Linked DNA regions of Schizosaccharomyces pombe. The protein of the gene in region 3 interacts with the protein of the main gene of each other region in a pairwise test. Each region holds a gene or a part of one and is shown on either strand. Other genes may lie near its edges. The genes, in order: ypp1, noc1, abo2 and prp40.

Region 1 (6,737 bases), on a different chromosome or scaffold from region 3:
GTTCCCCATTGCTTTTAGGAGATTTCGAACGAGGGTGTCGGAATGTGCTGCTCGGTAAACATAGAAAAAACAATAAAAACCAGTTTCCCAGTCAATGCAGAATTTGAAAACTGTTTGTAATGAAAATAATTAATCGTGTCCGTAAAAGCACAACCTTTAACACGAAATTTGTTTAATTGAGAAGATAAGATGGGGTTTTCGCTTACATATATTTAGACAAGCGCAACATAATAGGGTAAGTATCACAGGAAGAAGAGGAAAAATTAGAATACAATTTTAAAATCATGACAATGTAAGTAGTGTAAGAGCGAGGACTTCTATAATATTTGACAGCGGCAATTCGGGAAAACATATTGCCTAAGTCTGATTTTTTTTGAAGTTCATTATTTTGCTCAAAGGAGTGTGCTGAAAGAAATAAATAAATCAGCGTTAATAAAATTTAATATAAATGAATCAGAATATAAGTTAGATGAAAAATTCGATAAGTAAGCAATCAAGCAGTTTAACTGTTCGGCTAATAATACACGGGCAGGTTTATTCCTATAATATCTAACGGGTGGTCTGCATTTGATATGATCATTGCAACGTTGGTGTCTGACAGAAAAAAGTCGAATTCTTATAGATGAATTCTAGCATTTCTTCAGTCAGAAAAATATATCGAAGACTCTAAGTTTACCCTTTAAATGTGTCACTTGTGGTTTTCTTATACGGAAAAGATACAGAACAATCCACGGCTAAAGGAGATCCTCATCCAACAACCCGAGAAAGTCTATCATTTGGATGAACGGATACTCATCCAAAACTTTCAAGAATTGTGTTTTTTTTGCTTCTATCTTCAATGCCCTGTATCGAACTGAATTGCGATTGTCATTAATTTGCCTTGCTATGCCATACCAAGCCAAGCTATTTTAAGCAAACGGTTTAGTTGGACTCCAATAATAAATGCTTTACAAAAAAGAAATGCGATTGATAAACTAGAACACTCTCCAATGTATGTCTACCAATTCCTAAATACTTTCAATTCGCAACATTCTTATGGCCTTTGTGGTCGCTTCAATTCGGCTTTGAAAACCGGGTTAAAAGGCATCGCATAAATTTGTATCTTCCAAAACAGTTGATTTTATAAAAAGCTCATAAATAATTTCTCAGCGCGAGCAAATGGTAATTTCTTTGAAATCAGCGCCTTTGGAATTTTCATTTTACGCCTTATTGACATTCCCATCGATATACGTAACATGTTACTCCATGATACATGGTTTCAGCTGATGCCAAGGCATCGTTGCGTAAGCATTACGAAGGAATATGATGATGGAAGGAGGCATGGGTTGGGCAGTTTCTGCAGTCTGCTAAATTTAAATAGTCTGCCTATATATATTAAATCTCTCGCACTTTTATGACCTTCCCTCTCCCATACATATTTGCAAGTTTGCGTATAACGTTGCTTTCTAACACAATTTACTTTTAATCCACTTCAAACACTTGGTTTAGCTTTTAAAGAAAAGCTTAGGATTTTGCTACTGTTTGTTACGAGGAATTGTTGCAGAAGAATTCAATTTTTTTAAGTCGTATTTACCAACGATTTTATTCAATTTAAAAAGTTTGACTTTCATAGGCTGTTGCTTAGTTTATCGTCAATTCCTTGCGTATTGCCGGAACCTAGTTAATATCTAAAAAAACACAAACAAACCAAATTCCAAAAGTGGTTGAAAATTGCCGCTTCGCTACTTTTACTATCTCCGGGAAAGAAGACCTGTAATTTAATTTTTTCTTCTTCTTCCAATTCGTACTATTAATATTACCGCTAGTTTCTTCTTATTCTTTCGCCTACTACTTAATTGTTCAATATGCAAATTACTCGTGAGTCAAAATACATTATTGGGCTCGTCTTAGCCTTGGGTGTAAGCTTTGCTACCCTTTTGGCTCATTTGTTTACCAAACCATCTCTTGAATGGGTTTACAATCACCATGCCACTCCATTTTTCGCCAACAAGTTCATGCTTGGTGGCTACCTCTTGGTCGAATACTTGTCTTTCCTTTTGATGATTGTGCCCCTTTTAATGCTTGGTGATCAGGTAAACGATTTTACCTTCTCCATTATTCACACATCTATCTGGTACAATGTATTTGTCGTGTTTACCGTCTGGGCATTTACCCGTGAGAAGCTGTACTGGACTGCATTCTTTTCCTTGTGTCTATTCTCATCTTCTTTCACCATGTACGGCCAATCGCTTCGCTTGAGAAATGGTTTTGTTGAGATGATTAGCATGAAGTTGCCCTCGAAACTTGTTTTTGGCAAGTCTCTTTGGTTCGTTGTTTATGCCTTCTCTGCCGCTTTACACTGCACCGGCATTGGTTGCCGCGTCTTTTCTAATGTGTTTATCTGGTTCTTTGCCGCCATGTATCTTGTTCCTATTTTAGGATTCCATGACTGGGCTCTTTCCCTCGTCAGCGCATACCTTTTCCTTTCAATCGGTATTGGACAAATGTTTATTCACCTCTTTGCCTTGCAACACATTTTCGCCTTTATCATTGCTGGTCTCATGACCCTTTTCGCTGCTCTTCTCTTCCTCCTTCCCTACAGACAGAGACGCGCTGCTTTAACAGGCGAGAGTGCTCCTTTGCTTCAGGACAACAACGCGGGACCCGCAGTTTAAACTCTTGTAGTCTTCTGCATGTTGTTGCTCCGTTCTACTAAATAGTATGATAATGAATTTGCTTAATTGTATTATGTTACACTTAACTTTAGTATAAAAATTTAATTTTTCTCCCATAAATCTTTCGACTCAAAATTCAGGTGGATAGCAGATTAAAGCATAGTTTTGACGATCAACTTCATCATGGTTAATAGCACCCTTCTTAGTATAAAGTTGCTTCGTGTGCTAACTTTACAAGCACTTCATTGACGAAGACATCCAGCTTATTCTTATATGGATCACGAAAGTGTCATCATATTCAACTATTCGTACTCTGGCTAACTTGTACGCTAATTATTTAATCTTATTTGCTTCATGTATTTATTAAAGAACCCTTAAAGCAAAAAACTTGGTATACACTACTTTTTCTTTACTTAGCTCAATATCTCAATTACTTTCTCATGCCGACGGTTACGCACCTCCATTCAACCTTGGCCTACTCCATATATCGAACCATCAAAATTCCTTCATCTTGGTATTCTTGAGGCGTTAAATACCTTCTTTAAACCTTTTCTTTTTACAATTCCTTCGTTTTTCTTGTTACTGTAAATATATATCAATTTATTTAAAGTTTGCGTTCAAAGTTCTATAAACGAATTTTACGTTCCAACTACTGCGTTTGACCTTTTTTTTCTCTTTATATATACAAATACCAAGTTATAAAAAAATTCATGTTTTCCGTACGTCTAAACTATGAGTTTTCATACTGACTGATATAGGCTAAAGCAAAAACCTATGAACTAAAACTAGAACAAACAAGATGTAATGGAGATTGGCAGGCAATTCCTGAGGTTGCTAGAAAATTGCATAAGCATAACTCTTCAAAGTCCTGTGAGTGATTTACAGTCAAAGTTTTCCACTTGTCATCTAGACTAACCTTTTTTTAGTCGTTTGTGAATTAGCAAAAATTGAAGCTTCTCTTAAATCAGCATTAACTGCTGAACTAAAAAATATTGCAAACGTTTTGGAGCCTAAATTAATAGATAATCAGTATTCCCTAATTCCGGCTTTACCCAGTGCTCGTACCGACCCTCTTCTAAGTCAATTAAACTCATTGAACATTCAAAATGCCACAGAAGATGAGAAGCTTCAGGAGACATCCATACGCTTGTTATTATACATTGTACAGCGTAAATTTCCCGAAGCCGTAGATTTAGATTGGTCTCCTCAAGGAATTCCGTGGACTGAAACTTCCACTGGTATATGCATCCTACAAGCAACAGTGCTATCATCGCTAGCTCAATATGCTCAAGCTAACGATGAAGTTGCATATCAATACGTTCGTTCGGCCATTGGCTTAATTCAAAATGCCAATATTGGCAAGAAGCCTTTACCGGAACTTACAAGATGGTGCGATCTTGCATATTCATTGTATGCTCAAATGTCTGTAAGCGCTTGTTCGAGTCAATTAGAAAGAGCTAATATACTTACTACATGCTTGAGCTATTTTACCGAGCATAAGTCCGTGAATTTGCTTTATAAACTAGTTACCAGCAGACAAGCTATTAAATATTTGGAACATATTTTAAGAACTAATACAAATGGATCAAAAATTTTTACTAAAAGTCCGGTTAAAAATCTTTATTTAAATTGGCCTCAACTTGTCCTCGATTATGGGTCTTTGTTATGTAACTTTACCTCTTTTCCTAAAGCTGGTGATCAAAACATGTTCGCCGTTGAATTTATTGAACTTGCAACATCAATATGGATAAACACAGAGAAATCTTACGATATCACTGTCAGCTTGATTCGAATGCTTTATCAGCTTACTGGAAAATGCTTCCAAGCACAACAAATTTTTCGTTCTTTGGTATTTTTTTTAAGGCATATTGAGGAATTTGAAGAAGCTAGCGAGGCTTTTGAAATTTACAAGTTTCTATGCGTAAAATCTCACGAACGGTTAGCAAGAAAAAATTCAGATGTCGCTGGCTCTTTTTCTGATATCAAACCAGTGTTTGTTGATGAACCGAAAAGTATTATTGAAGTATGCTCCGTTATGATGACCGTTTATGCGCAATATCTTCGTAATTTGAAAAAAGTTTCTGAAATACTTGATTATATTACAAAAATTGCTTCTGATTATGATTTACTGAAACGTGACGATATTGCTCCTTTAATTTATCATACAGAAGGAGTTGCTTATTCTTTCATGTATTATCAAGCTAACAACCCTTCGTTAAGGGAAAGATATCACCAGAAGAGCGTCCAATCTTACCAGAAATGTCTAGAAAAGCAACCAACCAATACAAATGCACTTTTCCATTTGGCTATGCAATATTCGGAGAGACGTGCCATTACTGATGCAATGCAAATTGTTCGGCGACTTCTTGAGGTGAACCCTAAGTACAGTATTGTATCTTGGCATCTTTTGGTTTTGTGTGTGTCTTGTTCTGAACAATACGCAGCAGGAATTAAGCTGATCGATAGTGTATTTGAAACTTGGGGCATTAATCATGTCAATGAAGATGGCACTATTGAGATTAGTTTGACAAATTTGACATTTAATGACCGCTGCGCTTTGGTCGATTTATTGATTACGAAACTAGCTCTTTTTGAAGCCGAAAAAGGCGTAGAAGCTACTCTGGATATCCAGGATGAAATATTTACATTATTTGCTAGTATTTTTGATTTGAATGAGTACAGGATATCAAAGGAAGGATCGTCAGATGAATTATCAACGCTTTTAGAACGATCGACTATTCAATCCATTAAATCATCCAAGAAAATCTCTAAAGATGTGGAAAATGAAAAAGGAAGTATTCTTGGGTTTTCCAGGAAATCATCGCTTAAGAGATCTACTGTTTTAAGCAAAAAATCCCACTCTTCCTATAAAGAAAATTTTCAGTTACGTCGTGGTAAAACCGTATCATATCTCAATCAGAAGCTTTGGCTTACCGCTGCATCTCTTTTCCTTAAAAGTGGAAATGATGATCAAGCACGAAGCGCTTTACTAGAAGCTAAAAAAATAGACCATGAATGTGCTTGGGTGTACTATTTAAATGGTTTATCTTTACTACAACAGGGAAAAGAAGTTGAAGGGTATGAGCAACTTGACGTTGCTCATTATTTAGACCCGGAGGATCCCTTAATTTCGACGGCCCTTGCAAAGTGTCTTTTACAAGGTGGCTATGGGCCTATGCATTCTCGTAGAAATAGAGCAGATGCTATTTTATCGAGCTGTACTTTGCAGTATGGCTGGGATCTACCAGAAGCTTGGTATTATACTGCAGAAATATTTCGTCAACTCGGTGATTTAAAACAAGCTGCGTTTTCGTATGATTATTGCATCCAGCTAGCTGATACAAACCCTGTACGCCGATGGAGTAACTTGCAGCCTAGGTTTATGAACGTTTAAACTGTCTACATTTTTTGGACTTTTATTATTTATAAATTGAATTTACAAACTTTAAGGCACTTTCAATAGTAATTTATATGTTTCCTTTGTAGTGATTGTAACTTCAATATGAACTCACATAATAGACATAAATAGATAAATGTTATTTATGACATTGTGTTAAATTAATAACGAAGCAATTGCACCTTGAATCAGTATCTATAACAGTCTTCTTTCCAAATCACCAACAAACAAATAGCATTAGATAATTGCACCGAAAATAACGATTCAAGGACATTTCAAAATTAGCGATTATTTGGTCTGTATTTGCAGCGTCAAAAAACTAAGAGCTTTCAGGAGTGTTGTCTATAACATCTTTGGAAGATTCAGTATAGGCAGAGGATCTTGAATAATATTGATCCAAAATCTTCTTAGGAATACGAGTTAACATCTCACGAGGGAAGATGCGAAGGAGGGACCAAGCCAAATCCAGTGTTTCAAAAATAGTACGATTCTCGTAAGCACCTTGACTAATGAAAGTCTTTTCAAATTTACCCAAAAATTCAAGAGCAAGGCGATCTTCTTGAGAAAGGGCTTCCTCGCCAACTACTGATTTCATGGAAGCAGCATCACGACCGATGGCATACATTGCATACAGCTGGTTAGAAACATCACCATGATCATTTCTAGTCATTCCTTCACCAATGGCA
Region 2 (8,093 bases), on a different chromosome or scaffold from region 3:
AATAAGATAGAGATAAGTTGAAGAAATGGGAGAAATGCTTAACGAGAATACATCATCAACATCATTGTCGTCTTTTTACGTTTTGGAAAATGAAACCATTTTCAACGTGCAAGAAGAAATGGAGGAAGATGGTTCAGAATCTGGAAATATTCAGAAGACCTTACTAGAGGATCCGTGTCCGGAAAATGTCAATGACGAAAATGAAGATGAACAGAATAGATCTTCTAGATCGTCAAGTCCACTTGTGAAGCATGAACAGAGACATAGAATGTATAACTTGAAGGAAGTAATCAAATCATTCATTCTTACAAAGTCAAAAGAAAAACCATGCGACCTGGAGATGGGAATTGATTCAATTGAAATGGGAAGAATGCAAAGCTTTGAAAGTGATCAACAGGAATCTCACACTGGTCAAGCGAACTTTCCAACTGACCAGGAGGATCCTCGAAATCCTCAATTAGACTCTCAATATGAAGCTTTCATTACTCAAGGGGAATCACAAACGGACAAAAAGAAAACTTCGACAGTTCAAGAGGAGGAGCTTCAGAATGCTGGGAAAAAATTGGAGACTGTTCAAGAAAACCCTCAAGCTTATTCAAAGGTCACCCAACAGGAGCCACAGGCTGGTCAAAAAGCTGTACCCCAGGAACCACAAGCTAATCAACAGGAGACTTCGAGCAATCAAGAGGAATCATCATTTGATCGACAGGAAACTCAAGATGACAAGCAAAAACCGAAGACTACTCAACAGGAACATTATAATCTTCGAAATAGAAATCAGGCGACAATCACAAACAGCAACTCAAAACCTCAGACACGCCGTTCAAAAATATTTGTCATTTCCTTACTTGGATACGGAGTCTACTTGCTAGCCTTTCTTGATTTAATTGAATATGTTTCAAAGGAATACGGGTTTGAAGCAACAGTTTCGGCACAAATCTTCCTGTGGTGTTTGTTTGGAGTTTTGATGATTGCCAGAGGGCTAATCTACCTAGGTAAGTTAAACACCATAATATCAATACTAATTTTTTAGCATTGTTTCGAAATTTTTTAAATATTTTAAAACGAATGGCGATATATTGCGGCGCATGTTTTTGGGTTTACGCCTGTATCTTCTTTTTGACAAGGGTATTCTGTTTTCTAATAGACACACCCTACCCGCAATTCGAAAAAATACCGCTGGAAATTTATTCGATTTTTGCTGCTATAAATGTTTACATTATTGAGCTAGGGGGTAAGTTTTCAAATCGTGCTAAATTTAATAACTTGTGTAGCAATATATTGCACTTCAGGGCGTTAAGTGCTTATTCGTTAAATTTAACTGCAGATCATCATCATTCTGAAATTTTACATGTTTCACAACTTTTAAAATGACCAAAATATTCGCAAAAAGCTCTGTTAATTTGATGATGTTATTGTTAACAACTTTCATTTTTTATCTCTTTTTTATTATAAATCGTTGCTGGTCTGACGGATGTGATTGCATTTTCGTTTCTTTAGAGTAACACAAGCAAATAATACATTCATTTTCTCAGACAAATTGAAACAAAACAGCTAACATTCTCCCAAAAATTCTTTAGTAGTGTAAAGTAACTATTAAATCAAAGAGCGCTTAGTTTATATAAGAATTAATTTTTCTGTTTATTCAATTGATAAGGGGAATTGAAATTACGGTCATCTTAAAACATAGAGTATATTACTTTCTATACTAGAAAATCATAGTCTTTTGTAAATAGTAATGATAAAATTCAATCCTTACTATAAATCCAATACAAAGCCGGTATAGGGATAAAAAAAATTTTTTTTTAACAAATTAATTCTAATCTAAAAAAACTATACCCGAAATATGCAAATCCCAATTAAAATATCCATTATCGCCCCCTAACCAACGGAAAAAGGAATATAATAAACCTTCGAAGTTATACGAAATAACCAAATGTTGAATTACAATACTTAAGCAGCAAAAATCAATTTTCGAGTAAATGAGCATACGACTCAGCATCAGCAAATACAGGTAAATCTTTAATTGCTTTTCTCTTTTTCTTTTTATGAGAATGGGTCTCGGAATGATCAACGGTTTGTATTTCTTCCTCATCGTCAGTTTCATTGAACGGAAGCAAATCATTTTCATCTTCAAAAAAATCAACAGTATCATCAAACTCATCTTCAGAGTGTGCAATCTCCGAAAGATTTTCCTCGTCTGAAAACATGGGTTTTTCTTCGGAAGCCATTGACTCATTGTCATTCTCATCTGCAGACTGTTCACTATCACTACCCATATCGGTCATTGCTTTATCCATCTCTTCAGAATCAAAGTCACTTTCCTCTTCATCCATTTCCAATTGTGGTTTGGAATCAACAAGAGCTTTCCAAACTTCATCCTCGTCAATTTCACCCTCTTCATCCCTATCCACCTTTGTCTTTCTAGCCTGCTTTCCCTTGATATATTTATCATTGAAAAAGCGATAAAAGAAAAGCTCATCAACAGGAATCTCCTCTTGTTTCTTTGAAGTGAACTGCTCAGAGTTCATTGGAACACCACTGTACGTAGAACCAGGAACATAACCTTTGCTCAGGCCTCCAGCTAATGGTTGCATAATTGAATGACCACGAGCAGCAGCAGACTTCTTCGGGTTTCTATATGCAAATTTGTCAAGAAAGTGGTTCAACGTATGAAGCGACAAATTAGGTTTACCCAATATTTTTTCACCATAAACAAGGCTCTTGGCTAGGAGTGAAACGGTTGGGTGGAAATGGTTCAAAAAAGGGTGAATTTCCCAAAGACATGAGCCATCTGCGTTACTGTATTGAGGGTCTCTCTTTCTACCGTCATAAGAGAGATGCTCTTTTTTGGTTGAAACACTAACATTGCCTACAACATAGGCAGAATGAGATTGCTTATCACTTAATTTCCCGTCTTTATCTGAATCTACCTTTTGATCTTCGGAAACGTCATCTTCTTCAACATCCTTAAAGACCTCTTCCTCATCTCCATCAAAGTCATGGATTTCAGCATTTGTAAACATAGAACGCAATGCTGTCGTGGCGATAACAAGTTGGTGCATCACATGAAATAATCCAGTGACTAAAGGAGGTTGCTGCCACGCTGAGACCTGAACCATTCTTTTTATAAATGCTCGAACACGTGGAATGTTGTTGTCTATAATAAGTGACTTATAAAGTAAATTCAGATAAAGAGACTGTTTCGACGACGTTGTTAGACGTGGGTCAAGTAATGATTCGTAAAGGCTTTTATAATAACGGTCCGAAATGAAATCACGGCTAGCAGATGCTTGAAAAATTAGCATTAAAACTTGAACTGACGTATTAAAAGAAGCAGTATGGGTGATGGCAAATAGGGTATTCATGTGCTTGTCAAATTTTTCAGAATTCACTTCTGCAAAGGGATAAGCACGGTTGACGCCTGTCAATACCGCTGATATCACGCGTGAATTAACGTTTTCTTCAGCCTCTTTCCTTAAATCTTCATCCTTCTTTCGTTTTTGTGACTTTTTGTTTTTTGAATCTGACTGCAGAGACTTTTTTTCCAAAGTAGGAGCATCAGCAACCTCTTCCTTCTCTAAAGCAAACAAGAGTTTAGTAAAAAAAACAAAATATATTTCTATTAATAAATTAGCAACGTCGACTTGTTTATGAGTCAAAACAGTTTGATTCAACGTTATCAATGTGTAGTAACAACTGGTACGGCTTGTAGAAGGTGCAAAGATGAATCTTTCAATTTCCTTAGTAATCACAAGCTTCATTGCAGGATGACTAGCTTCGAGCTGGAGAATTGAATAAGAAGCTTTAGAGGCAATTTTATTCTCCTTATCACCGAGTTTATTAATCAACAACTTGAGCAAATTTTGTTCTTGTTCAGGTTTAGCCTTCAATAAGTCATAGATAGTAGAAACCATTTGACTTTTTACAAATAGAAGTGCGTCAAAAGACAAAGCTTCAATGATTTGAATGTATTTAAAATAAAATGACTTCAAAAAACTTTCAAAAGCCCATACCATAAGATGTTTGTCTGTAACGTTTTTAGACCCCAAACAAGATTGCTGTTTCATATACTTTAACTTTCTGTCTGGAAGAAGTCCTCCGATAAAAAGGTCTTTGAGAGTGGTAATAGCTTGAGTAGCTTCGTTACGAGATTTTTTGGAACAAATAGAAAGCAAAGTTTCCAATGCCTTAACTGCATGTATGGGAGATTCCTGAACAAGTAAGGTGAGTGCGGAAATACGATCACTGGTGGTACCAGAACTAATGAGAGTTTGTAACATCCGTTTGTCAGCTGTTCCATGTCCCAGAGTTTCTGAAAACCTTTCTGAGTCTTCTTTCAAAAGCAATAATCCACGCGTCTCTAATTCAGAGACATGATCTACGTTTACAAACTTTTTATCCTCATGCAATTCTGGCAAAGGAATATTATACCATGGAACTCCGGGATCAAACATGACCCCCTGAGGTTTAGTATCAATTGTACCTTCTCCTTCTTCATTAAAAATAATCTTCTGCCCTCGTTTTGGTTTGGGGTACAACGTTGCCATCTCGCGAATTTTTTTTTTGCTTTGTTCTCCTTCCTTAAATGATAAACCAGTCTTCTAGGAATTCAACAAAAATAAAAGGGTAATGTTTTATAACAGTCAGAAGATCAAAAGGGCCTTATTTGTAACAATTATTAAAATTAATTTTAGAGGGGTGAATACTGGCAGAAGTCAATAGCGACACTAACCAGTCCTTCAGAACAAAATAACGTACGCTAATGTTATACGCTAAACAAGGAAAGCATTCAAATTTTGAAAATACTTTTTGGGATATTGTTTTTGTACTAGAACATATTATAAAAATTTAAAGTGGCTACATTTGTAAAAGTAATACTCAATTTTGTACTACATTAAAACCATACAAAAAATCCAGCTACCATATTCATACAGTGACTTGACTACTGCAAAATAAATTAACAATTGTCAGCATAATAGATGTTTTATAAGAATAAAATATAGACCAGATTATCATGCAATTGGCGAAATTTTTGCAACGAATGTTAATGAATTAGTGTTCACCAGTCAATGAGCTGCAACTCTGGGTTAATGAGTTACGAATGGCCGATATGCCATAAAGGAAAATTTCAAATGCAAGTATTAATGAGAGAGAAAAAAAAGAAAGACATGCCAGTTACAGCATTTTCGCATTTTAAGGCAGAAACAGCTCCAGCAAACAAGACAGAGAAAAGACTTCTAACGCAGTAGAATCCTAAGAAGATTCCTAATTAACACATTTATGGTTGTCTACACATAAGCGAGCATGATTAGATAATGCAAAGCTTAACTCCTCGTGGTTGCTTACTTTACAAGTACAAAGGATTTTTTTCTTTTCTTTAAATAAACGATTTAGCCAATATGGGTTAAACGGCATGAACGTTCACAATGCATGCAAAGCACATGCAAATGAAAAAAGCAATCCTAATCCATCCCCCTACTCATTATGATGGAACACTAAATAATAGGGTAATCCATAAACTCCATGACCTAAACGCTTAGCCATCTTTGCAAAGCCCTCACTTTCAATAAGGTGGTAAAAAGGGAAGGTTGGGAATAATGCGCCATCCCTATGAACACTTGCCTTCACCAGTAAAGCAGTGGTGCCTACACCGTCAAGAGCCATAATTGTAGATGGATCTTTGTGCTCCTCATAAATTTTAGCCATCAACATTCGATAAGTAGGCAATTCAGCATATCCTTCAAGCAAAATCTCATCCCTGTCCATGTGACTTGCAAGCTCCTGCGCGGTTTGAGAATCGACCCAACTATTGAAGTCATAAGGAGTTAGTTTATCGCCTTGCTTTTGGAAACAATTAGCTACCAACACGTCTTCATTGTGTTCCGCCAAATCTTGGATTAACGTGGAGGGAGTTTCTACAATGTCAGAATCAAGCCACAAAACCCAAGAGGTACTAGGTTTTAGAGTGCTTAACAGCAATGTATTTCTGGTAGCAGCTAACTTTCCCCGACGCTCCTTCTGGGCAGAAAATTTATGCCGTTCGGCCTCTGATTGCCCTGAAGAAAGATCAGAGTCTTGGATTAAAATTTTAACATCGGCAAAACGCTTATCGCCTGGACCTTTCTGAACAGCATTGATAGCATTCCGAAGTTCACGATGAACTTTTGCACCGTCCTTTGACGAAGGAACAATAAACCCTAAAGAAATTAAATTCCTCGGATAGTCAAGCTCAAGAAGATTTTTCCAATACTGTGGATAAAATCGAGCAATAGGAGTTAAGATTAACACCTCCTCTTTGTTACGAATGGGATCGGAAGATTCCGTAATTTTGTTCATATCGTATATTTCGTAAGAATTCCCCCCACGGTTTTCAATCTGAACTTTGGCATTTGAATTGACAGATGGAGTAAATAGGTAATAGATGAAAGTAATACCGAGGGCCACAAAAAGGAGCTGCCCTACAATTCTAGATTTATTGTACACGCGCATCTTAAAGTTTATAAATAAAAATGGAAGGGCACAATTTAATAAGAGTAATAAAAATAGAGAGTTAAAAATTAAAATCAACCCGAATCTGGATGTTGTTTTGTGGGTCTAAACAGAATCGAGTTCTTAAATAATTATGCGAATTCCTTAAAAAAGCAACGGCTAACAGCTGTAGTCGCGAAAGTAACACCTTATATATATAAATGTATTTCAACTAGTGAATACCCCGTTAATAAATACTTAAGATAATTTAAGCATTAATACAAACAAAGGATTATGTCGTACGTTCACGAATCAAGCTTGTACAGGTTTTGCCCCTATCGAGTAAAAACAAAGCCAAAGAAAGAAGTATTAAAAACGCTTTTTCGAGTAAAAGAAACTGTTTTTAAAATAAAAAATTTCCTCCAATAAACCCAGAATTTGAGTGTTTTCTTATATATTGGTTCGATTCCGCCGCCAGAGAACGCCTTTGTCCAGTATAATGTGTGGCTCTGGTTACGTCGAAAAGGAGGTGAATACCAGTTACCTTGATCCCATCTGTATTCATAACAACTAGAATTAATAGCGTAGTCACGCAAGATTTCGTTATTAAATTCAATTATAGATATTTCGATTTCTTAATATAAGACACGTACTTCTATATTGTGTTGATTAACGTCTTTTCACATTAATTTTTGACATATTATATTCATAGTTTTAACGACGACATACTGGGATTGCTTGCGTACCTTTACTGGAGTTATTCTTTCTCTGATACCAGCCACACAACACCGCGTTAAGTCATTCCGTGCTTTGATAGCAAGAAGAGCTGAAATAGCTAGAAGGAAAACAAAACAATGATTGACTATTAAATGCCTTTATTCAATTGAGTTTTAGAGCTTATACTGCAATTCGGAGACTGTAAACGCTGTTATAAAGACTAATATAATCGTTATTTAATTAGTAAAAATGATCCTATTATGTTAAATTTTTTTTTAACATTTTATTATTTATAATAAGTTCAAATTTATCTTAAAAGTCCTTTAAGATCAAAAATATACGGTAAACAAGCTTCTAATGTTTTAGTTTGATCTTACTTTTTCGTAGGAAAAGAAATATAGATATTTGTTTCTGAATCATCTATTAGCATGAAAATGTTGGCCAGGCAATAATTTCTAACTGTGTTTTATGTCTAATAATTAAATCTTTAAAATCGTTGAGGGTCACATTGTCGACGTACAAGTTCAATTGAATAAATAATCAGTTGTGCAATAAATTGGATTTGCATTAATGCTCAATTCAACGACTACTGCCCAAGGTTCTATATTAATAGAAAAATAAATATTTTAAATTAAATTCAAAAGATTTAGATGATTGCATGCTGAAAGGGTATTCAAACAAATAATTTAGGTATAAATAAAAGGTCAAAAAATGTTTTTAAACAAATACAGATAATGGATAATTTTAATTCATTAGATTTATCCAATTGTTAAAAAAAATAATTGTAAAATTAACAAGACAACTAAAACAATGGAATAACAATGTTTAGTATCTTTTTATTTAATGCATCCCAGCCGTGTATATTTCGAGGTTAAGGACCTAAATTCGACGCGACAGTGAATTAA
Region 3 (9,231 bases):
AAGTTTCAGCCGGTGATGAGGAGCCTTACGACGATGACATTTGGGAATCAGAAGACCTAGAGCCCGTAGGCCATGATATACAGCCGATGGATTCTGTTTCTGACTTTCATGTCAAGGATTTTTCAGAGAAAAAGTATTCTCCTTATACAGATGAAATTGCCTCAGCACAACTGACTGGGCCATCAGAATCAGCATTTGGCAGTGCTAGTTCCTTGGGAACCGTGGAGTCTCCGGTGACTATGCAGTCTGCTACACTTTTATGGGATCCTAGTGTTAAGGAAGTCGATGATATTTTGCACAATGAAGATTTCTATGATGGCCGCGATTTGAATATTTTTACTTTGCGTGGATTTGTAAATATTTTGACTTTAATTCTTCTGAGTTGTGGATTGTTAATGCTTTTCATCGGGTATCCTATTTTATCAGCTGTTGAAGTAGAAAAGCAAAGGAAGAAAAACTGAGTATTTTTGATTTCATTTACTTTCAATAAGAACTTGTTGAAGGATTTTTCTCGTATCTATTTTCTCATTCCTTTGATGATTTCTTCTTTCTATTGCATTTCCATTTTTTTGAGCTTCTTATATCCTTGTGGTAGTACCACGAATTCTTGGACTTTCTTTTATTCACTACTTTCTCTTCCGTATGCTCTTTTTGCATTAGTATTACAGATTCTAATATTTCGTCTAACCGACTGCCTTCAACTAGTTGTGCTTGACCTTTTGCCTATTTCTTTGATAATGTCTATTATTTTTCTTACACATCATTCTTTTCCAGTTCCTCGCATCTTCCTCAAGCCCTTCTTATTTCGTTAAAGTTCAATCTCTAAATCTTTCATTTATTGGATTTATTCATCGTTTACTGCATCATAAATAATATTTGGTTTCTATTTCGCAAATACGAGTCATTTAACTAATGACCTATCATGGTTAGACTAACTCAAATTATAGGTAATGAATCAGTTAGTAAATATGCCTTCAGTACATCGGCTACGTGTGCCCATTCAAGCATTCTTTAAAAAAAAAAGAGCATTGTGTGTCTATATGCTTGGATGAGTAAGCTCCGTTCTCAGCACTTATATCATGAATAAAGGACTTATGCTATTCTGCTTTTGTCTTACACTTTCCACGTAGTCCGTAAAGTGTTAATTGTATTAAAAGTATGTAGCAAGGTTACACGGTTTCCGTTTCATTTGTGTATGAAAACAATAGACGAGGAGTGGTTGAAGTAAATGGCATCTTTAATTTTTTGTAACATTAATTACTTCTTGCATTTTAACGATTCGGAAAGCCGAAATATATTATTTTGTTCATGATGAACTAAAAGTCAGCTTTCAACAATGCCAGTACATATTTTATAAAAATAAAGCAGCGCTTGAATAGATCAAAAAAATTTTTACACCCGGCTTGTTAAAACGTCTGACTATTCAGCCGTATAATTGACATTTACATTTCTTTTTTCAGCATTTTCCATGCTGCTGCCTTCATCGTGGTTGAGTGCGTTATTTTTTTAAATATTCTCATTGGGATTCTCTATTTGGTAATATCAAACGGACAATAATCCACTAAGTATTATTCGAATGCGTAAAACATTTGCTAAAATGTTTACACGTATTTACATTCAATTCTTCACCCTTGAATTTACACGGGTAATTTAATTAATTAAAGGGTTAAGCTGATCAATTGAACATTTTCATGTTGCGAAGTTATGAGTATGCTAATCTTTAATATACGTGTTGCTAGGCATAAGGCGTTGTTGTCTCGAATTGTTTCAACAAATATGTTCAATCCTATGTTTAGGTCATTGCGTCCAATTCAGAAGTCTTTCTCGGAAATATCAATATTGAGAGTGTTTAATAAGCCGCCCATCAAAAAATTCCATAACTCTAACATACTGAAAGATATTACCTCAAAACGGAATGCAACCCCAGCGAAAATTGCTTGGCAAGCAATGACAACTCGGGAGCCTTTTCTTGTATATCAAGCAAAAGCAGATAAGAAAATCAGTCTTATTTATTTATTAACTGTCGGGATGCTTATAAATGTCTGTGTGATTACTTCTTTTGCCAGTGTTGACATATATCGCGCAAAAGATGAGATATTTGCCAATTGGGTCGATATGGATTATTACGAGAAATTATCTTATATTGGATCTGCTTTTATTACTCCTGCTCTTTACTTTACTTTAACGTTGATTTTATTTTTACCAAGACGAAATATTTATTCAATTTCTACCTTACCATCCCAACGGTTTGAAATTGTAACTGGATTTTTATCACCATTTAACAAGCTTTATTTTTCTAAATCATTAATTGTTCCAAGAAAAGACGTATCAATCGTTACTTACTCCCTACAGAAAAACCCAATCACTCTGAAAATTCGCGATCGTCCATTTTACTATCTTTTAAATGCAAATGGAAAATATGCTGGTAATTCAAAGGACGTACTATTCTGTGTCATCGGAAACCGATATTAGCTTTTCAATTTCAAATGTATCTTCTTTCGTGGTTCCTATCTTTTATTGTGAGCTTTCATTCATTACCAACTATCATTTAGATTTGTTGTATCTCACTAACAGATCGCTTAGACACATTAACCCAAAATTTCATTAAACACCCATATCCTCAAGCGACCGAAAGAAAGTTTGTCTTACATCCCGAACTATCTTAAGAAGATCATGCTCCTCACGATTTTCCCAAATAGTGGATGACAATTTGGAATAAACAAAATCTAGTAGTTCCACCTTATTAAAATTGGTATGTTCAGCAAATTCCTCTGCACATTTTGCCAAGGTTTTTTGAATATTTACGTTATCGTATTTTTTGTTCTCTTCTTTGTGTTCAACACCAGTCCTGCTAGGTGGAGTGACAGCAATCAAATTGTTATGAGTAAGTGATTGTCCATGAAATAAAGTATGTTTATGTTCATCATTAGAAACGTTGCGAACCTCATTTGACGAAAGCTCAATGAAATTGTCTTCTTGTGCAACATCGTTTCTCACAAATGTTTCTTCATTCTTTGATTCTTGCATCTCATGAGCATCCTTTGCATTGTTCAGTTTTTTTTGTTTTAGTTGTTTATATGCCTTTTCCCTCTTGGAGACTTGACAACAATCATACAACAGCTTTGCATCAATCAACTCATCAACATTTAATTCGGCATGCGCAAACATTTCTTTGGCTTTGTGTTTGAGGTTCACGTCGCCAGACAGGATCGCATCTTGTTTGATCATTTTGATATCACGCAAAAACTCTTTAGGAGTACAGTAACGTCCACTCCATAAGCGTCTTTCAATTTCCTCAAAGTTCATCATTTTGAAACAAGCATTGTCTTTTTTACGAGTGACTGTATTTCCTGAAAGGAAATACTCAAAATTATCCTTCGATTTTCCTTTTACCACCCTTTCGTTCGACTCATCAATGTAAATGTCATTTAAATCTATTATCGGTTTTTTGAACTTTTTATAACGAGAGCGAAGCATTTCAAGTATTGAGCTAAGTTTAACCTGAATTTTGTTTTTTATTTTCTTGTCGTTCTTTCTTTGTCTTCGGTTTACTTTGTCGGTTAAATCTGATGTTTTAGAAACTGGTAGTACTTTGGGTAAAATATCAACGCTTGCTGCTTCGGCGCTCTTTTGGTGAATGGGAAGGAATGAAATACGTTTAAGCAAGTAATGGAAAAAAGAGTATCTTGATGAATAATCAGGAAACGACAAGTCATGATATTCGCTTCGATGAGAAGGAAACCAGGAGCGGACGGTAGACGACAATTTTTCTTGATTAGTATTAGCAAACCCCAGTAACATGACAGGTTCTAAAGGGGAAATTGAATCTAATAAAAGAAGGAACATTGACAAAAAGCTATGTGAAAATAGAGATGGCCATTTTTCTACGTTATTGATAAATATAATACTTGGCGCATTTTTTCGGGCTTCAGAGAATATCTTGGTTAACAAAGACCTCGGAGATGTGGTTGTGTCCATTAACAACTCAGAAATATCCAAAGACTGCACGTGGATACCATCTAACATAGAGAAAAGCACTTTGCTTAAATAAGTACATCCATATCCATAAATATCAGTAATCAATAGTCTTGGGCGGAATGACATGGTAGTTTTTAGAGAGTTAATTTCTTTTTGCCTCATCAACTCTTCAGCAGGAAGTTTTTGTAAAGACTCGACCGTTGGTAAATATACGTCAAGTTTTAATAGTCGTCTAATTTTTGACGTTATAACCTCAATACTTTTCTTAAACAGAATTTTGTGGGAATCCGTAATAGGTATATTCGGCTTAACATCACTTCTTCGTGTAGAAACAGCAATCTTCTCAGATGCGACTACAAAATCGCAAATGCTAACGGATATTTCATTCAGGTCAATTAAAAATTTGTCAGAAGATGTGTAAATTTGGGGGAAGGTGCGTCGAACTGCATTAAGGGCTGCTTCGGTGCATAAAGCTTTTAAATCTGCTCCACCATAACCAGACGTAGATTCCGCTAAGTGTAATAAGTAGCTCTCTGGTATTTTTGGAGAAAAATGTAAAGAATTGATTTCAAGAATTTTCATACGTGCTTGCTTATTTGGTAGAGGGAAGTAGAATTCGCGATCAAATCTACCGGGTCTCCTTAAGGCCGGGTCAAGATCGTTGGGACGATTAGTAGCACCAATTACTACTACTTGTCCACGCGTATCGAGGCCATCCATTAAAGCAAGCAAGGTGGAGACAATGGAACTGTGAGTTTGCTCTTGTTTTGAAGATCGAATAGGAGCAAGCCCATCTATTTCATCAAAGAATATGATGCTGGGTTGTACTCTTCTAGCTTCTTCGAATAAAAGCCTAAGTTGCCTTTCTGCTTCGCCAACCCATTTGCTTAAACAATCAGACCCTTTTCTCAAGAAGAAACTAATTTTTTGATTTTTGGTCGAGCAGTTAGCGGCCAACACCCTAGCCATTAGTGTTTTTCCAGTCCCTGGAGGACCATGAAACAAGACACCTCTAGGAGGTGTGATGTGCAGATGTAAGAATACTTCTGGATATAACAAAGGAAGCATCACCATTTCTTTCAGTTGAAGTATAATATCTTCCAGTCCTCCTATGGAATTGAAATCAAGATTTTCCCTATTGGCAAAAGGGTCAGTACTTCTAATCGTCTTTTCGTCTATGTGACCAAAGTGAAGTTGAGAGGAGGGAGCATTCTCAATATCTGAACTAGCGCCCAAATTATTGTAAGCATTAAGTCCTTCAACGTCGGAAGTTTGCTCTGAACTTGTACTGCTCAACTCACTCGTTTCATCACTATCGCAAGTACTTTGATAACCGATGGGAAGAGTAGCAAAATCTTTCATAGGCAATTTTGGCGGATTATAAGTAATCTTCGTTGTTGAAGGATTTGGGGAAGATGCAATTTCGTTGTAATAGTCAAATAAATGATAATTCGGTCGATTGTCACGACTACGAAGTTTGCGTCGGAAATCTGGTGAATTTCGCTCAGCGCGAAGAGGACTCATTGCCTTCTTGACCCTTAAATTTTTTTTAACTGGCAAAATTGGACCTCTCATTTTTCTTTTTCTACGTCCTCTTCTACTTGGAATGGGTGAGCGCACTTTTGTCAAATCATCAGGGCTATCCGCGAAGTCAGAATCACTGGCGTTCGAAGACTCAGGATCACTTTGTCCATCTACGTAGTCTTCATCTAAATAATCACCATTTGTTGATTCTGTTGGAGCTTTTGGATACGAAAAGGTTTTTGAAGAAGTAAGATATGATTTCGGACTTATCAAATCGTCTTCTTCATCCTTAAAGGTAGTGGATTCGTCCTCATTATTATCAGTGTCTAGCTCTTTATCATTTCCTTCCATTTGAAGGTTACTACTTCCATTTCTGATACCATCAATTTGATGTTCAGTACTCTTCTTTCCCAATGATGCATCATTGAATGCCGCAGAAGGCTTTGAAGGATTTTCTATAGAAACAGAAAAAGAAGGCGTTTCTGTGTTTAGATGTTTCTGTAACGAAGAGAATTTTCTATTTCTTTGAGTTTCACGCACTGAAACTAACTTTTGTTTATAGGAGGAAGGATCAAAATGTGAAACTTTTATATGATTTGAATGATCCTCTGATTTTTCGCTGTGTGCGTTGGAGTAATAATCATCATCTTCTTCATTATCTTCATTATCGTCAGAACTAAAACGAATGGATCTGGCCCTTCTGCGCATTGCACGCAAAATGCACTGCTGGCACCAACAAATTAAGACGTTGTCAACTTGGTTAAGACAATTTGTTATGTAGATTTTTTATTTACAATTGCACAATTAAAGGCTCCAAAAAATTTGGGATATCTTAGGTTTTCCACATGCTGGTTTACGAATGGAAGGTTTGTAAGGAAAAGTAAATAAATGAAGTTCGTAACAATGCGTTATAAGAAAAGGAAAGCACATAGTAGAGTAAGTGGATTTTTGGACTAAACAACAGAAGTAGTATCTTTACAAAAACAATATTGTTTAAAAATTGACTTTTCTGAGATTATTTGTCCACGATCAGTTTAGTACATTGGTAATATCCATACATTGATGCATTGTTTACAGACATGTGGATAGATTTGAAATTCTATGAGGATAAAAGTTCATTGCCAACTTCGAATCTTGAGCTTCACTTGACGTTCCTCACTGATATAGTATTTTTTTTTATTTAATTGATTGTCAGTGTTTCGTCGTTTCGCTGTTAATTGAAAGGATGAGAAGAATTTATGCAAAGAGTATTATTTTATAATCTCTTTGAAAACTTACTATTCATAATCCGTAGTTTTACGTCTCATATTAGATTGATATAATGAACAAAGGTAGAGATCGGTACGGCTTTTTTTATTTTTTTATTAAACCAAAAGGTCTTTTAATTTCCTAATTACATTGGCATTCAATACAGATCCATTGAAATTCGATCAATATTGATTTCATTTTTAAAATAGTGTCCTTAAATTTCCTTAATGTTTGAATTCAGTATTTATTATTATTACTAATTCTATTGTTTCATCCAATTTACATGCAATTTATAGCTTTATTATATTTTATTTATTTTTTTATTTTTTTTTTGGAAAAGCAATTGAAGCTAGTCAAATTGGAAAACTGAAGCCAAACACCTAGTGTTAAAAAATTTTATATTTACTAAGTGTAGTACTACAAAAATCGTTTAACAAGGCCTCAAGAAACTCAACCAATATACATATATTTTTTAAATTCATCGAAATATTCGCATTTCATGGAGTTGATAAAAACTTTGCTACCGTAGAACTAAGTAAGTGTAATGTAAACAATAAGCAAAAGACATTAAAACGACTTAAAAAATGAAAATAGCAAACTAATATTATTCAGACATAGTTTATCACAAATTTGAAAGGAAAAAGCAATAATTAATAAAATAATTTTCGCAAAACAATTAAAGAATTCCAATTTCCTACATACTTTGGCTAAATAAATAAAAAAAGTGAACCACTTTTTTTTATCTAATCAAAAAATATATATATTTTAAACAAAAATTGTATTTTTTACTCTTATTATCTACCCTATCTTTTCGTAAAGGATACATGACGGGAGCGGATTAGTATATTGCTATCATCCAAAGCCTTGTATTATTGACTGATTATACTACTAACCATATCTTCATACTACCAACTCCAGCCTTCCTCCTATTTCACTCTTGTTTTAAACGATCAATAACTCAAAACACCATTAATCTTTACCGGGCATATTTGCCATATAAAAATTCTTATACGTATTCGAAAGCGTTAATATTTGGTGAATTTAAATTATCTTTCAAATCCTCCATTTATACCGTAAAGAATTTGTATACTCCTTTCTTTTTCCATTTTCTTATACTTGCGAAATCGTTATAAGTGATCTTTTACTTGTTCTTGTATATCTAAAAGTTTTGTTGGTTGTTATAAAATTTTGTGGATTCGGCTTCTTTACCACATATCTTTTTAAAATTCTCGTTTATTTCCATAACAAATAATCATCGAGCTTGATTTAAGATACTAGGCGCTTTGTTTAAATCCAAATTCTTTTTAAAATTCGGTTAACCTGTCTTACAGCTTTTGGCTGGTAATTAATTAATTGTGTTGTGCAAATATAACAGACCGAATTCCAGTATCCAGCTTCTGTCCAGGCTTCTTGTCTCAATTTTTACCTTCATTTTTCCATATTATCATTAGAATGACTCGGAAAACTATCATTGTTGGGGTTAGGTAAGTTCTACAGGCAATTGTTTTAATGAATTTTTATTAACAAGAAAAAATTAGTGGTGCCTCTTGTAGTGGAAAATCGGTATGATAATTTTGATTAATAAGAAAGAATAAAATAAAATCAAAAACTCCAAAATAAAAAAAAAATGAAGTACTAACCAATTTCTCTTTCTTGTTTTGACAGACTCTATGCCAGCTTTTACATGCCATTTTTGAAGGATCTTCTCTCGTTCATGAAGATGATTTTTACAAGGTTCGTTTAGATTATTTCGTCTATTTGCCTAGTCGTGCGAATTTTGCAAGTGTCATAGAATAAATCGTACCCTCGTTTTAAAAACCGATGGTTGAATCTTATCGATGAAGCAAACACTGTGTTTTTATGTAGTGCCAAAGCACCTATTGATATACTAACTCGTTTGTTTTGTAGACTGATGCTGAGATACCAGTCAAAAACGGCATTGCCGATTGGGATTGCCAAGAGTCGTTGAATTTAGACGCTTTCCTTGAAAATTTGCATTATATCCGTGATCATGGCGTGTTACCTACTCACCTTCGAAATAGGGAAAATAAAAATGTTGCTCCTGAAGCCCTAATAGAATACGCTGATATAATTAAAGAATTCAAGGCACCGGCCATTCCAACTTTGGAACAGCATCTCGTTTTCGTAGACGGATTTATGATGTACGTTAATGAAGACCTTATAAACGCATTTGATATTCGACTGATGCTGGTGACCGATTTTGATACGCTTAAGCGTCGTAGAGAAGCCCGTACTGGTTATATAACGTTGGAAGGTAAGAATTCAACTATCCAGATAAAACATAACACCTGTGTTTAATCGTTGTACCTTTCAGTTAAGGCTAACTCCAAATTGTTCCAGGATTTTGGCAAGACCCCCCACATTATTTCGAAAATTATGTTTGGCCTGGCTATGTACATGGTCATTCCCATTTGTTTGTCAATGGCGATGTGACAGGGAAATTGCTTGATAAGCGTATAC
Region 4 (7,622 bases), on a different chromosome or scaffold from region 3:
ATACATCTGCCTTATAGTCTGTAACTTCGAACTGTTTCAAAAACTCTTCACCACCCATGCTGGCTCCACCCACATCATTGGAAGTATCATGATCTTCGGCATGTTCCAAAATTTCATCTAAATTCATATCCTCAAGCTTCTTTTGATTATTCTCTGCTTTAAACATATTAGAAGCTCCAAATTTCAAAATAGCGCTAAGCTCTTCAGCAGAAAATTTATCATTTTTGGAATTCTTTTGCTTGTCTGTAACACCTAATGAAATAATTGCATATTCAAGAATCATTTTACGACGTGCACGTTCCAAGACATCTTCTTCAATCGTATCTTTGGAAAGAAGCCTGTATACCATAACATGATTTTTCTGACCAATGCGATGCGCACGTGCCATAGCTTGTAAATCAGCTTGAGGGTTCCAATCGGAATCAAAAATAATAACTGTATCAGCAGTCATTAAATTAATACCTAATCCTCCAGCTCGTGTGGATAATAAAAACACAAAATCTGGGCTGTTTGGTGCATTAAAATGATCTATTGAAGTTCTTCGTACAGCAGCAGGGACAGTGCCATCCAGTCTCTGATGTGGATATCCCCTCAAAGAAAGATAATCACCAAGAATGTCAAGCATACGAACCATTTGACTAAAAATTAAAACGCGGTGGCCGTCTCGACGAAGACGTGATAGAAGTTTGTCAAGTAACACCATTTTCCCGCTGTTCATAATTAAACCTTTTAAGACTTCATCTCGTCTTCCTTGAGAGTTTATTTTTTGCATCCATGACTCTTCTACTCCGTCAAATAAGTAAGGATGATTACTTGCCTTTTTCAACTCCACAACTATGTTTAGTAAAGATATTTGACTTCCCGAACTTATGCTTTGAGTAAGGACACGGTAATTGCGAGTTAAAATATTTTTGTACCAGTACATTTGTAAGTCAGAAAGCTCAACACGAAGGATACGTTCAGACTTAGAAGGAAGAGATTTCTCAACGTCTTTCTTTAATCTTCGTAAAATGTAGGGTTGTAAATGCTCCTGTAAACTTCTAATATAAGCTTCCTGCTCCTCATCTGGTGCTTCTAAATTAATTTCCTCACGAATCTCAAACTTTCCTGGCATCAGGAAGTCTACCAAAGCCGCAAGCTCACGAATATTATTTTGTAATGGTGTTCCAGTTATAAGTAATCGATTTGAGTTCTTGAACTGAGAAAGTGCTTCATAAAGTGACGATTCACTGTTTTTTAATCGATGAGCTTCGTCAATTGCCATATATTGCCATTTTATATTACTAAGCACCGAGCGATCTTTGAGTACATACTCATAAGTAGTTAGAAGCAAGTTGAACTTTATTTTCTGAGTTCCATCAACATAAAATTCGTAATCCCTTATTACTTGCCTTGAGGTGGTATTTCCAAGGTAACTTATACAATTCATATCAGAAGCCCAAAGAGCTAATGTCTCTTGCCAGGCAGGAACTGTAGAAAGTGGAACAACTACAAGAAAAGGTCCATGCTGTCTTAAAGAATGTGCAAGATATGAAAGAAAAGCCACAGTTTGGACTGTCTTACCGAGACCCATTTCATCGGCCAAAATCCCATTTTCATTTTTATGCCAAAGATATGCCATCCAGTTGACGCCTGTAAGCTGAAAGTCACGAAGCTCACCACCGGTTATATACGAAGGCTGTTGCTCCAGTTTTCGATACTTAGGACGCGAATTACCATAGTTTGTACCTCTTGATGGACTAAGAGCACTTTCTTCTCTTTCTTGAAATGCCTGAATTTCCGTGGCAGCAATAGGCTCAATAATTGAGGAAGCTTCCCATGTGCAAAAATCATATAACAGCTGCTTCCATTTCACTAAGTATTCAACTGAGCCATCGGAGTTTAAGTGTTTGGCAACAATTCTGTCTACCTGCTTATATTCCTCGTAATTTTCACGCTTTCTCTCTTTTTCAATATCCATTGCTTCAATGTCTTCACGCGTAGTGGTCGGATCTTCTCGAATTTCTCGATCAAGAAGTATGACTTGCTTAATGTGATTGTCGACCTTTTTAGATCCTCTGATCATAGAAATGTTATTGTAAGGTTCCCATGTACAATGAAGATGAGAAAAATTAACCCATTTAATTAAAAACTCATAATCTTCAGAAGGTGTAGAGCCATCGTGTCCTTCAATAAGTCTATGATCTAAAACGACATCTATAGCTCGTGTATCTTCAGGTTCTTCAGAAACTTCAGTTGCGTACTCATACATCTCTTCTTCCTCTTCTTCTTCAAACGATTCAAAATACGCGTCTTCGTTATAGTTAACACCTTTACTATTTCTAGAAGAAAATCGAATTTCATCTTGAACGTAGGTGTTTGATTTTTTTTGCCGAGATCGCTTTTTGGGAGTTCCGCCATAAGAACTATCATCTGACTCACTTTCCTCAGAGGTGACAGATTCAGCTTCATCGTCTAAATCGCGAATTGTTCGATGACGAGAAAAAGATGAACCATTTCTAGTACCTTTACGATGCTTGGATGGGAACACATCTTCTTGATCATCAGTGTCTACATATCTTCCTGGATTACTACGAGTGCGACCCTATAATGATTAGCATCTAAGTAAGTTTCATAATGAATAAAATAATGTGAGACATACAGAACGTCGAAGACCGTAAAGCTCTGGGTCGAGCCATTCAGTAGATTGTAATTTGCGCTTGGAGGCTACGCCGCTATTCGAAGGGGATTCGGACATTTCCTGCTTAAGATTAGGGGTTTCAGTTTGAACGTGATCCAGCTGCTCAATAGCCTTAGATGATGACAAAGCAAGTGCTATAGCACTTGTACTCATATCAACTAAAACAGAAGTTAGAACCAATTTCGCAAATTTCTTATTGCAAAACTTTTCCGAAATTGAAATGCTGAATAATTGTGAAATATGTAATAGGCTTCCATCCAACTTCTAGTTAACTGAGAACTGCCAGATGCCACTTTAAATGTGAATATTTATAACTCTTGACTAACGACTATATTTAGACGAGATCCGAACAGATTTAAATAAAGAACACATATTAACTCCCGTATCTTTTCGATAGGAAGCACTATATCGTTCATTTTCGAAGAAAGAGCAATTTTGAATAAAAGGTCGAATGCCACCAAAAAGATTGTATCACAAGAGAAACAAGCAAAACATAATAAGAAAGAAGGTTTTTAAAAAAAGAGAGCTACATTCAGTGCATTGAACAATGTAGGTTTAACAAAAAAATGCGACACGTGGATCATTCACATATTCAGCGTCAAATTCGGAAAACGAACTGTGGCTGCAACAAAATTTAATAAAAATTTACTTACGCGTTATTAAATAGAACGCTTATAGCAGTATTTTGCTATTTTAATAGCAACTTGCTAGTTTTGTTACAAAAACAATTTTTGAGGTACTGGTGGTAGAGGTTCAAATAGCTACAGGCTGTATCCGCTACTAAAGGTAATCAAACTGTATGAATACAAAAAGCGAGTTGAGAGAACATTAAAATGCATGTGTATTAAACGCACTAACAATTAAATTTCTAACTTGAATACTAACGAATTTCACCTTCTTCACTAGATTCTGCATCATCAACAATATTTTTAACAGCCGGTTGTGTAGCGGTAACATGAGAGATTGAATTTTCCTGTACATCCTGCATCGTATTAATTTCATTCCTATTACTTTTTGACGCTAAGTCAGCAGAATATTCCAACCTTCCATCTTCGTATCCGCTATGTGGTCGGGCACTATTCGCTAAATAACTTTCATCTTTACCGACATCATAATAACCTCTTCTGTTTTGGTATTGCTTTTCCAATTCCCGTTTTTCTCGAAGCCGTCTTATATATTTGTCAAAAGCAGCCATCCTGTGTTCCTCGGAATGGAGCGCAGCAAATTCCGGTAGAATAGAAATTAAAGGTCTAATTTCATCGTAAGAAGCATCGGCAGAAATTGGAGGTTTAAGGTATTTAATGGCACTTCTGAGATTATCAATTTTCCTTCGAATGCGTCGTTCATCAGCACGCTTTTCCTCAGCTTTTTTGTGGATCGCTTTATCACGTAATCGATTAACAACTTCTTCAATAAGGTCTTCAGTTACTGCCTCACTTTCCTCTCGATCTTTAAGCTTTTCTGATAACCTTGCTATAATTTCAGGAATATTAGATGTGTCATCCACAGATATTTGCAATACTTCAAGACAGTCCAAAACCAAATTACGCTTTTCCCGATACATATTCTCCAAATCAACGATCGTATCCCAAAATAAATCTAATGGTGTAGAGCCAGATTGCCCTAGTAAGTTAAGATATCTTGGATCATCCTTGATTATGGGATATAATTCTTTCCACTTCGTGCGTAATGTAATCTTCTTTTGCACGCGTAAGTCTTGTAATAGCGCACGAAAGGCATCACGATTTTTCCTTTCTATACGATGCTTTTCTTTCTTCTGCTTTTGTTTGTCAAGAATATATTCGCGTTCCAAATGCTTAACATGATCTTCAAATGCTACAAGAGCATCTAATTTAGAAAGATATTTCATATTTGAATTCCTTGTATACCTTGGATCTTGATCAAATTTTGCTTGCGCAACGCTCCAGCGGGTGTAAGGCTCGAAATTCATGTTTCGCAAAAGCGAACAAAAATCATCCAATGCTTCCTTTCTGCGATCCTTTTCCAACTGCTTTTCATCCTCTAAAAGCTTTTGCTTATATTCAAAAAATAGTTGTTGTTGTTCAGTTTCAGAAGAAGTAGCGTTAAAAGCAGGATGAGAAGAAAATTCATTCTTCACAGTACGCCACAAAGTATAAGAATGAATTTTATCACTACTTTTTAGCATCTCAATAAACTCCTTCCTAATCTTAGTTACTCGGTTCTTTTCTGCATCACTTTGATCGGTCAAATAGTTTAAGATGTACGCATCGAAAGCACATTTCCGATGCCAAGGATCCTTCATGACATAATAGCCCTTAGCATCACAAAGCTCTCGGACAGTCTGCTCCCAAGTCCAGCTTGGGTTGACATTATGAGAGTCTAAAAATTTAAAGAAAGCGCGCTCTGCGGCTTCATAGGTATCATAGTTTTCGTGCTGATAATCATTAGAACGTTTTTGGCGCTTATCCTTTTGTTGAACAAAGTTTATAGTTCGTTTATGACTGCCTTGTGAAATTTGTTGGCTTTGATCTTTAGCTGGTTGACTTGAAGGAGCAGCAACATCCGGACCATGCCGTTGAATGCTTTGAACAGCTGGCTTGTTGTCATTGCTTTTGATTTTAGACGACAAAGCCTTTTTTTGCTGTTCCGGTTCATCAACAAGGGCAGCTTTATATTCATCAGGAATATCCCACACTGATTCACGGGTATTGACATTATACCAATACTTTTTGCCATCAGCGGTGGCATATTCTTTCCAAGCTAGTTTCGAAAGCTTTTTTTCAAAGTCATTCATTAACTCCTCTGGTTTTTCCCAAACACTTTTGCGCGTTACTGAGTTGTAGTAATAAACTCGAGAATCTTCTGTCTTCACTTCATGCCAGTCAGAGGCCACAGTCTTGGAAGGAGCTGCTGACGGCCCTTCCTGATTAGACGTGAATCCCTCAGTTTCATCGTACTCTGAAGTTTGCCATGGAGGTGCAGACATCTTCACATTTATGAATAACTCCCCTTAAAATTGGGGTTGTGGTTTAAGCCAGCGTGTAGAGTTACACTCACTGTTCACTACAAACGGGTGTGGTGGTCGAGTCTATATGTGGGGGACTCGTTGTTTCACTGTATTATCAACTACGTAATATCTAATTGATAATAGAGATACGTTAGACTGTGGTCAGTTTAGAATACATTTACTATATTGTTGTAAACAGGTCTTGAGAATAACAGACTTCAAAGTGAGTTAATTTACAAGCGATGCTATAGCCGTTGCTAAACAACTTATGACTGAGTTGAAATATGGAGTGAGTTAAGCTGTATCAAGAGAAATTAAACTAATTTTATACAAGAAGTAGAAAAAGCTATATTGACATCGTACTTATATTAGGGGGTATTCAAAAAAATGAATGTTTTTAGTGACGTTTAACGTAAATTCTGCAAGACTTAAAGATTTAAACAGAGCGTGTTATTCACAGTTAAAGTATTTGTTGTTAAAAGTCAGTAAAATACTTAGGGCATCGCATGGCGAGTTATAAGGGTGCATACGGGCACAGGTAAGAAGGCATAGGATAAAAGAACACGACGTTTCAAAAGACGTTAGTCTTTTTAGAAAAATGGTTAAGGTGGCAGCTTTTGTTTGTGGTGTTGCCAGCAGTGGTAAAAGTACGTTTTGTGGAGCATTAATGTCTTATATGAAAAGCGTTGGACGTTCTTGCCATTTAGTTAATTTAGATCCTGCTGCAGAAAACTTCGAATGGGAACCAACTGTTGATATTAGAGACTTAATATCCATTGATGATGTTATGGAAGAGCTGGACTACGGCCCTAATGGTGGGTTAATTTATTGTTTCGAATTTTTGATGGAAAACTTAGATTGGTTAAATGAAGAAATTGGCGATTACGACGAAGACTATTTAATTTTCGATATGCCTGGACAAATTGAATTGTATACTCACGTACCAATTTTACCAGCATTAATTCGCCATCTTCAAGTAACCCTAAACTTTCGTCCTTGTGCTGTCTACCTGTTAGAAAGCCAATTTCTCGTTGACCGTACAAAGTTCTTTGCGGGTGTTTTAAGCGCAATGAGCGCAATGGTTATGATGGAAGTCCCGCATATTAACTTATTGAGCAAAATGGATTTACTCAAAGACAACAATAACATTACAAAAGCGGAATTAAAAAGGTTTCTCAATACAGATCCACTCTTGCTCACAGGTGAAATTAACGAAACAACAAACCCAAAGTTTCACGAACTTAATCGGTGCATTGTTCAACTGGTAAGTCACAGAATCATAATTCCTCGAGCTTCTGCTAATGACTAGATTGATGACTTTAATATGGTCAATTTCCTTCCTCTTGAGAGCGGAAACGAGGAAAGCGTAAGCAGAGTACTTAGTTATATTGACGATGCTACCCAATGGTACGAAGATCAGGAACCAAAAGATCCTGATCGGTTTGAAGCAGATGATTTAGAAGACGATGAATAGGGAGATACACGTATAGAAGGGTAAAAATTTTGGAACCGGTGCATAGATTCTTATGATGTTAATGAAAGTCGAAGAGTTTCAACGTTTGCGAATTTTATTTATAAATAGTTTGTAATTTGACACATCTCATTTGTAAAGTTTTAGCATAGTAGTTTGAAGAAAACAATTAGATATTTTTTTGTTTAAATATAAATAAAATGTTTTGTAGGAACTTGAATGCATTTACTGATTATACAATTGATGAGTACAACAATGGTTTTAAATCCGGTTCCAACAAAGTACACAGTACCAACAGCACTATGTGAAAAATGGTTTAAATAAGAAATGGCTATTCATTAACTAATCATGTACAAACAATGTAATCAAAAAGCTTTGCTAAAATTCGGCATAGAATTCTTTAAAATTGTTTACCGAGAATTTCCGTACGTAAAATGAAGTGAGTGACATGCAAAGTCATCAGCCAAAGCCAAATAATCAAT

The links.
Region 1: the proteins of abo2 (region 3) and ypp1 interact in a two-hybrid assay, tested with the Schizosaccharomyces pombe proteins (one large-scale study listed by BioGRID).
Region 2: the proteins of abo2 (region 3) and noc1 interact in a two-hybrid assay, tested with the Schizosaccharomyces pombe proteins (one large-scale study listed by BioGRID).
Region 4: the proteins of abo2 (region 3) and prp40 interact in a two-hybrid assay, tested with the Schizosaccharomyces pombe proteins (one large-scale study listed by BioGRID).

The regions. Positions count from the first base shown.
Region 1 is NC_003424.3:4,540,710-4,547,446, forward strand, and holds ypp1 (cargo transport protein Ypp1), read left to right. Parts: upstream 1-3,126; 5' UTR 3,127-3,364; coding exon 3,365-3,373; intron 3,374-3,412; coding exon 3,413-3,524; intron 3,525-3,580; coding exon 3,581-6,048; 3' UTR 6,049-6,237; downstream 6,238-6,737. Other genes in the region: SPOM_SPAC637.03 (uncharacterized protein), read left to right, coding at 1,845-2,654; vma2 (V-type ATPase V1 subunit B), read right to left, coding at 6,371-6,737. UniProt on the Schizosaccharomyces pombe protein: Involved in endocytosis.
Region 2 is NC_003424.3:4,844,830-4,852,922, forward strand, and holds noc1 (ribosome biogenesis protein Noc1), read right to left. Parts: upstream 4,704-8,093; 5' UTR 4,551-4,703; coding exon 1,968-4,550; 3' UTR 1,790-1,967; downstream 1-1,789. Other genes in the region: protein mug126, read left to right, coding at 26-995, 1,034-1,234, 1,275-1,300; mannan polymerase complex subunit Mnn9, read right to left, coding at 5,479-6,492.
Region 3 is NC_003423.3:1,436,363-1,445,593, forward strand, and holds abo2 (ATPase histone chaperone), read right to left. Parts: upstream 6,360-9,231; 5' UTR 6,211-6,359; coding exon 2,605-6,210; 3' UTR 2,473-2,604; downstream 1-2,472. Other genes in the region: actinomyosin ring linker protein Sbg1, read left to right, coding at 1-461; SPOM_SPBP22H7.04 (uncharacterized protein), read left to right, coding at 1,705-2,472; nrk1 (nicotinamide riboside kinase), read left to right, coding at 8,203-8,234, 8,289-8,313, 8,416-8,484, 8,659-9,025, 9,112-9,231. UniProt on the Schizosaccharomyces pombe protein: Probable ATPase which may play a role in nucleosome organization.
Region 4 is NC_003424.3:5,373,638-5,381,259, reverse strand, and holds prp40 (U1 snRNP-associated protein Prp40), read right to left. Parts: upstream 5,694-7,622; 5' UTR 5,649-5,693; coding exon 3,561-5,648; 3' UTR 3,498-3,560; downstream 1-3,497. Other genes in the region: CHD family chromatin remodeller Hrp3, read right to left, coding at 1-2,584, 2,642-2,833; GTPase Fet5, read left to right, coding at 6,268-6,933, 6,979-7,143.